2 linked regions of the Rhinolophus ferrumequinum genome follow. Each later gene encodes a partner of the first gene's protein in a complex. Links are inferred from orthologs where the notes say so. Each region holds a gene or a part of one and is shown on either strand. Other genes may lie near its edges.

Region 1 (7,319 bases):
TAAATAAATGTGGGCTTGTTGTCTCCTTACCAGCTGAATCTATGGAAGTGTGGCAAGTCGACTTGGCAATTTAGGGACTGTCTGACCACACGACAATCCCCTGACCCCCAACCTCAATGCCTTAAGACTACAACAATTAATTATGTCTCATAAGCCTACAGATTGGGCAGTTCTTCTGGTCTTGGGATCACTCATGAATCTGTAGTCAGATGGTGGATCAGCTAGGGTAGGGCTGGTCCAAGATGGGCTTAACTGGATCAACTTGGCTTTGTTCCATGTGGTCACTCACACTCCAGCAGACTAGGTGGGATTTATTCTCATGGCAATGGTAGGGTTCCAAAATCAAGCAAAAAGCCGGGGGAATTGGTATGTGGATGAACCTTGAGGCCCAGGCTCAAACCTAGCACACTGTCACTTTTGCTACATTCTACTGGCCATGCACAAGGCCAGCCCAATTCAAAGGTGGGGATATAGATTCCATCTCTTAATAGAAGCCGCTTCAAAGCTACATTTCAAGGGGTATGCATACCGAGAGGGGGAGAGCTGGGGCCATTTTTGTAGTCATTCTACTACACGCCGGATCCTTTCCATCAGGGAGGGAGTAGTGACGTAACCTCACAGGAATAGATACAGATTCAGATTTGACTTTCCTACTGCTATTGACTGAATGTTTGTGTCTGCCCCCACCCCTACCAATTCCTGTGTTGAAACCCTAACCATCAATGTGATGGTATTAGGAGGTGGGGCCTTTGGGAGGTGATAGGTCATGAGAAGAGCCCTCATGAATGGGATTGGTGTCCTTATAAAAGAGACTCCAGAGAGCTCCCTTGCCTCTTCTCCTATGTGAGGACATGTGAGAAGACAGCTATCTATGAACCAGGAAATGAGTTCTCACCAGACACCGAATCTACCTGCACCTTGATCTTGGACTTCCTCGCCTCTAGGACTGTGAGAAATAAGTTTCTGTTGTTTATAAGCCCCTCTGTGGTATTCTGTTAGAGTAGCCTAATATCTCTATACGTGTCCAACTGGTTCTGTTTTCCGGGAGAACCCTAACTCATATACCTAACTGCAATGTTTCTGTCAGCCCTACCATTCATGGATACCTAATTCATTTTCATAGTATATCACACATTGCTTCTGACTAAGGAGCTTATTTTATGGTGGAAGAATTTTAGCAAAGAAACTCATTGGTCTTTCCAGGTACCCCATCACTCAGATGTAGTTACTGTAATGAAAACAGTGTCATGACCTTTTTCAGACTCAGTTATGGTGCTAGCCGAGAGACAACACATTATGAGTTTGGGGTGCTGCCTTACAGGTTTGTGATATGCCTTCTACCAACCGCTAATACACAGTAGTTTCTCTCAGTTAGAATACATGGGCCTGGGAACTAGGGGGTGGAGGTAGGAGTGCTTCTTGACACTTTTACACCTAATAACTCATTTATGAATTCTTGGGTTCAGTGTTAGGAGTACTTAGTCCCCAAGGGAGGAACAGTTCCATTAAAGAACACAGTCATTGTTCTAGTATATTGGAACATGCAATGAGACTGCCCCTGCTCATTTGGGGCACTTCTTGCTGAGCCAACAGGCAGACAAGGGGATACACTTCCAGTCTGAAAGACTGACCCTAATTTCCAAGGGGAAATTGAGTTGTTGTTATACAATAGAGACAGAGAAGACTCTATTTGAAGCCCAAGGTATTCACTGGGGCACCTCATTGTATTCTCATATGCAATAATGAAGGTCCAAGGAAAATGTCATCGATTCAATAAAGACAGTTTTTCATTTCAAAATTAAAGAATGTGATTTCATTACGAGAAAAGAAATCTTAACAAAATAACACAAATGTGACAAAAAAAATTAAAGAATGTGGACTACTTTAATTTCTATACCAGTCTGGCCTCCGCTTCTCAATTTTACTTCTATCACTCCTCCCTGATAGAAGTAAAATTGAGAAGCGGAGGCCAGACTGGTATAGAAACTAAAGTGCATACTAAAGTGCACTAAAGTGTAATACTTTAGTTTCTATACCAGTCTGGCCTCCGCTGTATGCTCCCTGTATGCACTTTACTCTCATTATGAACTGAATTTCCTTTGGTTTCTCCGAGTGCGTCAAACTTCCTCCTAGGCCTCATATCTATTACTAATAATAACAATGATAAACTTTGTGTCATTAATGCTTAGCTGCACATTTAACATCTCTGAAACCAGGACATGTTTTAAGATTGCTGTTGGCCAGGTTTTCATGTGTAGATTGTGTCACAGCACTCCATGTTATCATTGCTTCAGCTGAGCTCTGTGTATGAGATACAGCTACTGTATCTCAAAAAGATGACCTTGCAACTTGCATTAAGAGTTTTTATGTGCACAGGAAGCATAGACATAGGATAGACAGCAGTATGACATAGGATAGAAATTTCCATCTAAATAGGTTTAAAAGAGCTCTTTTTTCAGGGGTGCAAAAAAAATGTACACATTTTAAGAGATGTTATTTATTACTTTTTGAAGTTGAATTGAATTACGGTAGTAGTATGTAGTATGATGTTCGCTTAAAAGATAGCGTTAATCAAATGAATGCTAGCATCATTCACTGTATTACAATTTTAATACAGTTTTTTCCTTTCTTAAAATGTGTATACATTTCTTTGGCACCCTCTGTATAACAAGCCTAAGCAATAAGAAACCATTATTTTTAATTTCAGAATTTTTTTCTTAATGTGTTGTACAAAATAATGGTTTGTTTTACAATTCCTGGCAGCTTAGATTTGATAGAACGTGGTAATAATAATATTAATAATAATAATGGCTGGTAACGTTTATTGAAGGCACTGTTCGCTAAGCGCTTTTCACTTCACTCAGTACATTTATATAATGTACTATAATGTACGTATATATAATGTAATATAATGTACCGTAATCTCTGTGGTCTGAGAAAATTTACGACAGGCATACCTCCTTTCACAATAAAGTGTTTCACTTTATTGTGTTCCGCAAATACTGCATTTTTACAAATTGAAGACCCTCCATCAGCAAAAAGATTGACTCGCCTAAAGGCTCCAATGATGGTTAGCATTATTTTACCAATAATGTATTTATTAACTAAGGTATGCACATTGTGTTTTTAAAGACATAATGCTACTGCACACTTAATAGACTACAGTATAGTATAAACATAACTTTTATATATGTACTGGGAAACCAAAACTTCATGTAACTCGCTTTATTGCAATATTCACTTTATTGCAGTGGTTTGGAACCACACCTGCAGTACCTCTGAGATATGCCTGTATTTTGAAGCCAGATTAAAAATCCTTCCCTTTGTAAAACTTCCCTGAGACATCCTGAAGAAGTTAGGTCTGTTTGAACCACATTCCTCTTATCCAGCACACTTTGGCTGCCCACTAATTATCAGCTTGGGTGTCTCTCCCCAGTTAGGCTACAGCACCTTGAGGGTAAAGACCATCTTTTAATGCATTTTTGGGTCTTCTGTACCTACTACAGCCTGCTGCTTTTTCTCAGCATCCCACATTAACTCTTTTCAAAGATGAAACAATGAACAGCTCAAGTTTAATCTAGGATGTAAAACTGAGCTTGGATTTATTAACACTACAACAGGAACCACACTTTACAGTCTGCAAACTATTTGTGCATTATCTCATTCCACTGTCACTAAATTTGTCAGGTTAGGTGTTATCTGCCCATTTGTAGTTGAGGCTACTTATTTATTAAGTGCCAGTTGTAGTATGAAGCTTCGTTGTTTGACCCTTGGCCTGGGGATTCTTTCCACTCTACCTCAGCTATCAGAGGAGGGGTTTATTCCCTAAAGGATGGGTAGATTTTGAACAACTGGAGTGAGGGAGCAGGAAAAAACACCCCAGGACAGAGTAGGGGTGGAGCACTGATTGGCCAAAAGGAAAGCTCAGGCAAGCTACGAGCAGCAAACACTATACACAGCAAAGGATGATGAGAACGTCAGCTCGGCCTCTTTCCGTTACCTCCCGAGTCAAGATAGTTACGCAGCTCCGGGTTTTACCTGTAGCACTGGCTCAACCCCGCCTCCGCCCTTTACCTGGTACTTTGTCCCACCCTCCGCTCCGTTCCGCGCCAGTCTCTCGAACCCTGAGACCACCACCAAGCCTCCGAAAGCTCCCATTGGCTCGCCCACTCGTTGAGTCCCGCCTCCTCCTCCCGAGGCCCCGCCCCCTCCGCTACGCTCTCTTTTCCGTTCCACCGGCTCCCGAGGCGTAGGCGGCCAAATCCTGCCGTACCGCGACGGGGCAGTCGAGCAGCCGGAAGTGGCCACTCTTTCTCGGAATCCCACTGCCTTGTGGGACCGTGGCCGGTTCCTCCGGCCTGAGCTAGTTTTCCGGGTTCCTTCAGCCCGCCCCCTTCCCTTCACTCCCCCGCCTTCCTCGTCAAGTACGGAAGCTGAGAAGGTCCGCTGGCAGCCATGGCGGCGCACCTTAAGAAGCGGGTGTACGAGGAATTCACTAAGGTGGTTCAGGTAAGCTCGGGAAGGAAAGGTCCTGGGACCGATCCGGGCAGCGGAAGATTAAATACACGTCAGGCGCTTTGCTGGAACAAACTTGGGTTGAGCGCCTATTACTTTGATAGGCTCTCTGGGACTACACTTTAGTGGGCGTGTTCATTTGTCCCTATTCTTGTTATTATGATTAATATGTGCAGTCTTGATACTTTTTTTTAATTATTAGAAGAAACAAATAGCGCTTTACCATTTACGGAAATAACCGTTATTTTATTCAGGTTACATTAATATCCTCGTTTTACGGATGTGGATTTAGCTTCTGGAGGGGTCGAGGACAGAGAGCCAATTAGTGGCAGAGCCCCTCCCAATTCCTGTTGCACACACACACACACACACACACACACACACACACTTTCCCAGGGACAAGTTGGTTGTACTCAAAGCTCTCGGGATGGAAGAGGAGTCTGTAGAAATTCTTAAGACCCAGTCAAAGCAGGCGTGGGTCACAAGCTTCATTGGGGTAGAACTCTTCCATTGGTGGTGGGCAATACCTTCTTCCATTGGAGTTAAGGACCGGTGTGCCGAGCCCTTGACAGAGCACTCAGTGCTTCTCCATGTGTCTCCTTGTAGATGTCGCTAAAGTAGAAGTTGATCCTAAGTCATTCCATGTGTCGTGCTCCTTAGACTTATGTGTATACAAATCACCTGGGGAATCACATTAAAATATAGCTTGTACGCAGTAAGTCTGGCAGTGGAGGTGAGGCAATCTGCATTTCTGACAAGCCCCCAATTGATACTAGTTGATCAGCAGCATCCTTAGAGCCACAGACCACCCTTAATTCTTCTACTTGTAGAGTAGCAGGACTTAGACCATCCAGAAGGAACTGATCCTTAAACCTTTCATTCATTCCTTCAACAAGAGTTTATTGAGTGAATGAGTGGTTACTATGTATCAGGTATGATGAATACATTGAGCTACAGTGTCCAATACACGTGAGGGTCCTTCTTTAGGAGCTCACAGTCTAGTAAGAGAGAGAACAGCATATCATATATGTGATTCGTACTACAGAGAGATAATTGCACTGACAAATCAAGTCATCCTTCTACTTTTGCAGCTCCGTTTCCTAAAAACTCCCCAGCCAAACTCCCAGCCCTTCTTGATTTGACAGTATACCCTCCAGCTGTATCCCTTCCTTTCTTTTTTGTTTTGTGGACGCATCTTTGTAGCACATTCCCATTGTCTGTAGGGAAGTTAGTTTGCCTTATTCTTGTTTTTGCTTATAATAACTTTGAGATTTAACTTTGACACTTTTTTGTTGCCCTTTTTAATGTGAAATTAGTTTTCTGAATTTTTAGAATGAGTCAAGATTTAGGATAGCGTTTTCTAACTTCACAGAGCTCCCTCTTCTGTGGCTTGCTTTCTGGGATTTCCTGGCTTTGTTTCCCTTGACATCCTCCCCTTTTTTTTTAAATTGTTATAAAATATACATAAATAAAATTTACTGTTTTAACCAGTTCTGGTGTTAAGTACATTAACATTGTTGTGCAGTGTAATTTTTTTTGGAAACATTTTGTTGTTCCCACTTCTCAAGACTACTCATCCCTCCTCCAACATGCCATGTGTTTGTACCTCTCCAAACTTGTGTATCTATTGTCTCTTTTGCATAGAATGGATATCATTCTTCCCTTTCTTTTTTTTCTCCACCCAGTGGACTTATATTTTTGCTTCAAAAATATCAGTTGGGCTCAAGACCCAACTGAAACCTGAGCAAGAGTTTAGTCTCTTCCCTACTTCTACGGCACTCTGTTGTACTCATCTGTTTCTACTTATCACTCAGTACTACTACTGTGATTACCAGTATACGTATTTTCCCACTAGTCTGGGCTCTTTGAGGGCAGAGATAATGCCTGAGGGTTCATCCCTGTCACCCCTGGATAGACCATAGGGTCTGGCTCACTAAAATGTCATTGATGGTTGGTTGATTGCAGATGTTGGTTTGTCTGTCCTTTTACATACTCTCTAGGGAAAAAATCTTTCCCAGCTTTTGATCTAATTGCAGCCTGGATAAGACTGAAGACTGAATGTGTGGAATAGGATGGAAATGGGTAAATGGTTATTGAACCCAAATTCCTCTGACTTCAGAACTCCAGGTCTTTTTATCATGTCATATCATGTTGCTGTCTAGCATAATCCTAATCTCTTCTCGGTAGAAGGGTAAATTTGTAAGGAGGTAATTGCTTAGAATATGAAAATGATGTCAAGTGTTAAGGAAAATTATTGATTACAACATTTATCTTATGTTATGATCCCCTCTATACCTACCCACTAGGGCCTGACTTAAACCCCAGAGTGACAGGTTCCCTTTTACATGAACTTTTTGGGACTCATTATATGTAACAAATGCACCTAGAATGTTTCTAGTTCTGTACCACCCTTTGGGGATAGAGAAATAATTACTCAAATAATTTTATGTGTTCTGTGGTTCAGATGAGAATCCCTGGTTGAGAAAGGTAGGTGTCGTCATCCCCATTTTACAGATGATAATACTGAGAATCATGACTAACTTAGAACAGAGCAGCATTCCAAGTCAATCATTCAGTAAACATTTATTAAGTGGCTACAGTTTGCTAGGCCTACGGCAGTGTATTTTTTTCCTACACTGACCATCTTTTTAATAAAGGCAGAATGATTTGGGGGAAGCTAGTCATCTGGAGTGAGGGAAAGATTTTTTTCCTCAGTGTAAGCTGCAGACAGTTCCCATCAGTTCTGTTTTTCTCTGGAGGGAAGCTGAGCCTGGTGGGTGCCACAGCACAGCCTGAATACATTT
Region 2 (7,299 bases), on another chromosome or scaffold:
CTTTCATTGATATCTTCTAGTTGGATCAAGAAAGCACCAGCATCAAAACTCGAAGAATGGAAGCCGATGGTTTGGAAGAAAATACTGAAGATAATAGCTGAGTATTCTTTAAAACATGTTGAATCGCTACTGCTCCTGGTTGGTAGAATTTAATACAGTGTGGATAAATTCTAATTGATAAAGAAGCATTACGTCATAGTTTAATTAGTAGCATTTTTTTCCTTTCAGTGGTCCAAAAATAAAGGCATTTCTTAGAACCCAAGGTGTCTCAGCATAATGAAATATGGTTATGTTGCCTCACATTTTCAAAACAATCCTCTAAGACAGGTCTTATTACATGCCTGGGGTCTGCTGACTCATCATAAGTGTATTCTCATCACCTGTTTATCTGCCTCTGTCTTTCCATTAGATTATAAACTCTCTATGGCCTACCATAGTGCCTGTCATATAGGTGTGCAATTAATATTAATTTTAAAAATTATTGCAATTTTCATGCTCTTTTGCTAGAGAAACTGTTCTACTGTGATTCTCATTCTCAATTTGGATATGTCACTTTCAGAACTGATCTTGAATTATCTCAAACTTCAACTATTACTGTGAAATACTGCTCAATGGAAAGGTCTAATTCCTTTTAATAGTAGTCCCTAGCAGCATGTTTTCCTGAGGATTGATATTATATAATATTAGGATGACCAAAATACATTTTCTTGTATATATATTACCTGAATACATTCTGCTGCATAGTTTCACATCTAATTTTTTATGCTTATTACGTCATTTTTTTGATGCTCTCAACCTCTCAACATCATTGACTATTTGTGATCTCAAAGAGTAAAAAGCAGAGAGCTAAGGAAATGGTAAGTGAGCCAAAAGAACCATTGTTAGGTTACACATGAACACTAATCTGATTATTTTGTTCAGATGGCACATCCAGAAACCATAAGCCATGTCATTGGCACATAATTATTTTTAAACCGTGTTTACCCTGTTTAATTGGTTTAAAGTAATTTAAAAGGGCTCTGGTTGGCTTCTACAAATCAATCTAATTCATCAGTTTTTTCAATTCCGTTAGAATAGCTCTATTTACACAATTTAGGCTATTGTTAAGCCCGAGTCACCATTCTTTCAGAGGGTTTCATAAAATTTATTCATTCTCTTTTAAATGGGAGCCACAGCATTTGGGCAGCACTCCTTTAAAAGCAGCAGTAAAGAGCAAGTTTTCTCCCACTTATCTCTGTTGACCAATGCCCTCCCAGAAAAATCTTCCTTAATTCCCTAGACTGCAACAGCACAGGGCTTAGCACACACTACTCCAACTAGTTTTCTCTCTAGCATTGCAAGAGCTCACCACTTCTTCAGTTGAGTCTGATGAAATAGTTGGCTTGCATTTAGGAGCCATGTTTTAGAAAAATAAGTTGCATATAACCAGAATCTTTCTAGAATCACAGGGATTGAGTAAAAAAAGAGATTCATGTTTCTCATGTTTCCCAAGGCCTAAAGTCACCAAGAAAAACAGTGGGAATCTCTCGCACTGTTTAGTCTTTGTAATTAGCTGTCCTGATCTTTGTATCTAATCCTGGCTTTACCATACACCTCCACTTATGACCCTAGTATGACAATCTGCCAACTCCCAAGTTAGGGAAGAAAGAGCGATGGCTCCATGGAAAATGACTTCAAATAACTGCAATAAGGTAGTAACTGTAAAGCATGGTCACCCACTTCAGTAAGCTAGTTTGATTCCCTTCAAACACTGCTTTGTACCAGCACCCCATCTAAAAACTCTCATTTATACGGAAACAAAAATCCTTAGCCTGGAATAAAGGCTCTCTACTGTCTAGACATGACCTACCTTTCAGGATGTTATCCTATTCTTTGTGTAGCTGGTGCGGCAGTCTTGCTGTATGTACTTCACTGTTTCCCAGAAAGCCATTGACAATGCTGTGCTAACTTTCTTCACTACATTTTAAATGTCTAGGACTTTTTCATTGGCAGCTTCCTCTTCCTCTACCCATATATCCAAATCCTTTAAAGGAGTATTTCTCAAACCTGAGTAATGTAAAATAAATTCTTATGATTCTATAGAATACATTTTTAGACAGGCAGGAGTCCATAGACCACAGTTTGAAAAGGACTGACATAGAAAAACTGTAGACCAATTCCATGAAAATCAGTTGCCAATTATCACGTTAAAAAAAATATATATATATTATTATATATAAAATATATATATAAAATATATTATATATGTAAAAAATATATATATGTAAAAAAATATATATATATTTTTTAACTGGTAAAACAATTTGTATATTGTCGTTAAAATGAAAACAAAAATTTTAAAGCATCAAAGAATTCTGAGTCTTAGCTCCAGATCTAGGACCCCAGTTTGAGAAACACTGCTTTAAGGCACAGCTTAAACATACTGACCCTGGAAAATGCTCTTTCATCACCCCAGGGTAATACATTTTCTCTTTTCTGAGTTATTTAGTATCTAATCACTTCTGCCTTGTAGTAGCTAGTAATACTAATGTAGTATTTTTCTAGAAAAACTATAAGCTCTTTGAAGGCAGGGACCATATTTTAATCATTTAACTCCACCTGGGGTCCTCAGCAAATATTGCATGTAAGACCTGTATTTCATCTTATTTAGCAGTCCCAATCTCTTTAAAAATCTCTCTTCTATGGCACACACTCACAGGACAGCGTATTACTGAAATAGCCCTACAATAAACTAAAAGTTCAGAGGTTGTTTTAAATATTAGGAAGAGTCCAAGTTATGAAAGTGAAGATTTTTAAAAAGGGCCACAAAGCATGTCTCTTCAGTGTTAACAGGAACTACTTCTTAAAATGATCAGTAAAGAATTTCAGCGTGAAGAGTGAAACAAAAAAACACGCAATGCAAGGCCTAGTAAGAGAGGCCCTAAAAAAATCCTACAGTCTTATGAGAACTATTATGTCCCTAATTCAACTTGTATTTCAGGCAGTATTCAGTTTTTTAACTAGTGTAGAGGATTCATTACTTCAGGTATGACGACTGAGGCTTGTTTTAACCTAGAACGCCTTCCCTCATACTGTATTTGAAATGAGTGTGAGAGGCAGCAAATAGTGAAAGGAAAGCACAGACAGGGTTATGGGAACCCCATTCTCTGGGTCACCTGGGCAAGCTGAAGTCAGTTTTTTCATTTAAAAATAAAGAGTAATTCATTATGGTTTGCTACCGCCCCTTTTAGCTCTGAAATCGGTATTCTATGGCCCTTAAGTAAACAAGGTTTGAGAGAAGTATTTCGTTGGGTAGAACCGGTTATTTTCCCCTAAGAATAAAATGGGCAACAAACTGTTTGTCGATATTGAACTCTTTTCCCATCCCCTTTTGGGGCTGTTTGAAAAAAGTGGGTTGAATCCTTTCTTGGTAGGTCCTCGAACAAGAGGGGTCCTGGCCTGCTCCGAGTCCAGCCCTCACCCCGGCTGCTCCCCAAGGCTGAGCGGAGCTGCGGGTGAGGTTTGTCTTTCGTCCCCACTCCCCAGCGGGAGCGCTGTGACTCGCGGAGATTAGTCCCTCGTCATAAACAACCTCTCACTTCCCTTCCCCCGCTCTGGGTCCGCCTACGCTGAGGCCGGCCCTCTGAAGACCAAGGAACCTCTTCCGGAGACCGCTGGCCTGCCGCCTTCCCCTAATTGGGCGTTTGATCCTATATTTATCCCCTCCTCATGTGCCCACCAGGGAAGGGGCTCGCTACAGCGACCTCGGAAGGGGAGATGAAGCGAGCCTCCATTTCCCCTCCCTCGACCCCTATCACCTCCAACAGCCAAGGAGAGGCCGGCAGCACTGACGCGCAGACTCAGCCGCTGCTGTCCTGCGCGCGCCGACGCGGCTCCCACCCCCCCCCCGCGATCCTTCCGCGGTCCGTCCCCGCCCATTCCCGGAGCCCGCCTCCGCGTCTGCCGACCCGCCTGCTCGGCCCTCGCGATCGCTCTCGCGCGCACCCGACGCCCCGCCTTCGCGCGTGCTCAATAACAGTTCTCGGAGCCGGCCTACAAGCTTCTCCCTCCCCTGAGCTGTTTGAATATGCTAATAAGAGGCTAGAGATTAACGAATTGAATTGCGGGGCGGTGCGTCACGTGGCGCGAGGACGTGTCAGGAGGCGGAGCCGCTGCAGCCCCTGCCCGAGTTAAAACCGGAGTGTGAGAGAGAAAAGCGCTTCAGTAGCGAGAGGGGCTGAGAAAGTGGTGACACAGCCGGGGTGCGGAGGGAGTCCCTGAAACTTCTCCCAACAGCCCCAGGGCCAATCTCCCCTTAGCCCACTCCCCTCTTCGCCAGCTCCCAGGTCCCCACTCCCTGCACCGGGGGTGGGGTGGGGAGCCAGGCCCGTCTCCCGCTGGGACACACACAGGGGCCGGGAGCGGGGACGGGACCCCCGAGGCGGGGAGTACGGACCGACAGACAGACGGCCGGGCGCCCGCCCTAGCGGGCAGGCCGGCAGGAGGAGGCGGAGGAGGGGGTACGACGGGGAGGACTGGGTCTGGGAGTTTCCTCTCAACTATCGGGGGAGAAACTCCCCGCAGCCGGAGGAAAGACCCAGACGGTGTTTTCCTCCCGGGGGCCGCGCTCCCCCGCCCCGCGTAGCGGCGGTCGCCGCCGCCGCCACCGGCGCCTCCACCTCTACCATCTCTTTCTCTACCACCTCGGGCCCCGGTGTCCCCGGCCAGCACTATGCCCATCTTACTGTTCCTGATAGACACGTCTGCCTCTATGAACCAGCGCAGCCATCTGGGCACCACCTACCTGGACACGGCCAAAGGCGCGGTAGAGACCTTCATGAAGGTACCGACTGACCGAGCCCGGGCGGCGATCCCGGCCCGGCGGCCCGCGGGCGGCTGGGGTGGCAGGGAAGGCGGCCGGGGGCGGCGAGGCGGAGGTGTCGGGGACCTGACTGCGGGAGCTGCCGGGCTCGGGGACCCCCTCCCCCACCGCGCGGGCGGGCGGGCGCTGCGAGCGGGGCTCGGCCGGGGCCCGGGCTCCGGCCCCGGGAGGTGTGTTGGGGCCGATCTGTGTGTGGGGGGCGGCGTGAGGGGGTGGCCGCTGCGTGTGCGGTACTGGGGGTGGGGGGGCGGTGGGGCCGCTGGGCACCCCTTCTCCGCCTAGTAACCTCGCCTCTGTGCTTCCCTCTCGCTCGCCCTGTTTCTTCTCCCGTCCCCCACCCGCTCTCCCGCAGCTCCGTGCCCGGGATCCTGCCAGCAGAGGAGACAGGTATATGCTGGTCACTTTCGAAGAGCCGCCCTATGCTATCAAGGTAACAGCCCTCGCCCTCCCCCTTCCCTTCCCAGTTCCTTCCTCGCTCGCCCTCCCCGCCCCCCATTCACCCTTCATTATGCTCCCCTCCCCCACCCGCTGTGCTCCAGGAGCTGAAGTCTTTTCCCCTGCGGGCTCCCACCCCCTCCCCCGCTCCGGAGCGCCCTGGCGCGGCGCGGAGTCGCGGGGCCACCGCCATGCCCTCCCCAGCCCGGCCCGGTGGCGGCAGCGGCGGCGGCGCTGCGATCAACATGGCCGACATTTCCCCTCCGCGGCGTGAGCGGCAGCAATGAACTGTGGGGGATATTTATTCAAGTTAGCCCCAGTGACAGCCGGGCCGGGCCGCGCCGAGCCCGGGTTTGCATTAAAGGGGAATCGGCCCGAGGCTTGGCCGCTCTCGCCCTTGCTGGCGAGTGAGCCGGTTAGGAGGCTGCGGGGCTTGGTCTTCGGATTCTTCCCTAGAGGGCTGCGGGCCAGTGGGACAGCTGTAGGTTAACTTCAGAAGTCCTCATGTCTGCTTTCCACTAGCACTTTGCATCCCCAAATTTTGGGTATTAGGTTAGAAGTAAATTTCCCAGAGAAGTTCCAAAGTAGTTATCCTGTTAGCTACCAAAAGCAGTAGCGCAGACAGGTTTATTCTTGGCCACCTTTGGAAGAGAGTTTCCTCAGCAATGATACGATTTTAACACATCATTAACCAAACCATCCTGAAAAGTGAAGCAGCTACTTGATGAACCACAGATTGTAATGGCTGTCCATGTATGCAAAGCTTTAAAAAATAAAAAAAAGTCTTAAATTTTTCTTTTCAGGCCGGGTGGAAAGAAAACCATGCAACGTTTATGAATGAACTGAAAAACCTTCAGGCTGAAGGACTTACGACTCTTGGCCAATCCCTAAGGACAGCTTTTGATTTATTAAATTTAAATAGATTAGTAACTGGCATAGACAACTATGGGCAGGTAGGTTGAATATTAAGGTGGAAAAAACAGTTGATTTTTCTTTTTGTGGAAAAACACAGTCCAGTCCAAAACTACATAACATGAAATACAAGTATAAAACATTTCAGATTAAAATACACTGTACACATAATACAAAAGTGAAACTGACTAAACTGTATGTGGTTTTATAGCCTTTTTTTTCTTAAAATATATTTGCATTCAGAATTAGAATCTGAATTCTTTGCTATAAGATTGACATAAATTGGTTTTAATACTTTGCACTCAGGGCATAAAAGGGAAAACATCCTGCCTCACCACACAGTTTCTCTGATACTCTATCCACAGGCAGTTAGTCTGCAATGAATTATAGACACTAGTTGATTAGTGGTCTTCATTTATATAGTACTAAAAACGTTAGAGGAAATTATTCTATTTGTTGTATCAGGGTTTAATTTAACCATAGTGTACAACTACTCTGAAAGGTAAGATTTTCATTAAAGTGTCATAATTGGCTGAATACATGAAGATTTCTCAGCTTTTGAAGCATATATAATAAGCAACTATGCAGGAAGGATTCTGAATTCATTCCTGAATTAAATGGCAGGTCCAGAGGTTATTTATTTATTTTTAACTCCAAACTCTTGGAAAAGAGGCTGTTTGAAAATATGAAAGAACCTTTCCTTCCTTCCTTAATGCCCCCCTTCCATCCACACTTGCTTTTATCTATTTGAAGATGAGACAGGAGCTTTAAATCACATGACGGTTCGTTATGGAATAATGTAAGGTGGTCCACTGTAACTTTTTTTTTGAGATTGCTGGCCTGGAAAATAAAAGATACTGAAGAATGTGTAATGTTACACATAAAAGTATTAAACCCAAGGAATTCACTTTTTATGCTGTAGTGCAAAGCACTGTTACCACAATGATACATTTAGGTATACATTTTGTTCTTTTCCCAAATTCCATAAGCCACGGTTTTCATGAGTTGCACAAATTTCAGGGGCATTCTTCCTGCAACTTGTGGCTGCTTTATATAGAAAGATACAGAAATTTTCCCTTGTTTTAGTAATG

The links. Proteins that work in one complex are often made in the same cells at the same time.
Region 2: INTS4 (region 1) and INTS6 share a complex: the UniProt entries of both Homo sapiens proteins name them as parts of the integrator complex. The link is inferred for Rhinolophus ferrumequinum from reciprocal best matches to the Homo sapiens genes INTS4 and INTS6.

Annotation. Positions count from the first base shown.
Region 1 is NC_046294.1:52,165,614-52,172,932, reverse strand, and holds the start of INTS4 (integrator complex subunit 4), read left to right. Parts: upstream 1-4,222; 5' UTR 4,223-4,455; coding exon 4,456-4,509; intron 4,510-7,319. UniProt on the Homo sapiens protein: Component of the integrator complex, a multiprotein complex that terminates RNA polymerase II (Pol II) transcription in the promoter-proximal region of genes.
Region 2 is NC_046287.1:86,290,891-86,298,189, forward strand, and holds the start of INTS6 (integrator complex subunit 6), read left to right. Parts: upstream 1-4,197; 5' UTR 4,198-4,711; coding exon 4,712-4,822; intron 4,823-5,213; coding exon 5,214-5,291; intron 5,292-6,099; coding exon 6,100-6,249; intron 6,250-7,299. UniProt on the Homo sapiens protein: Component of the integrator complex, a multiprotein complex that terminates RNA polymerase II (Pol II) transcription in the promoter-proximal region of genes.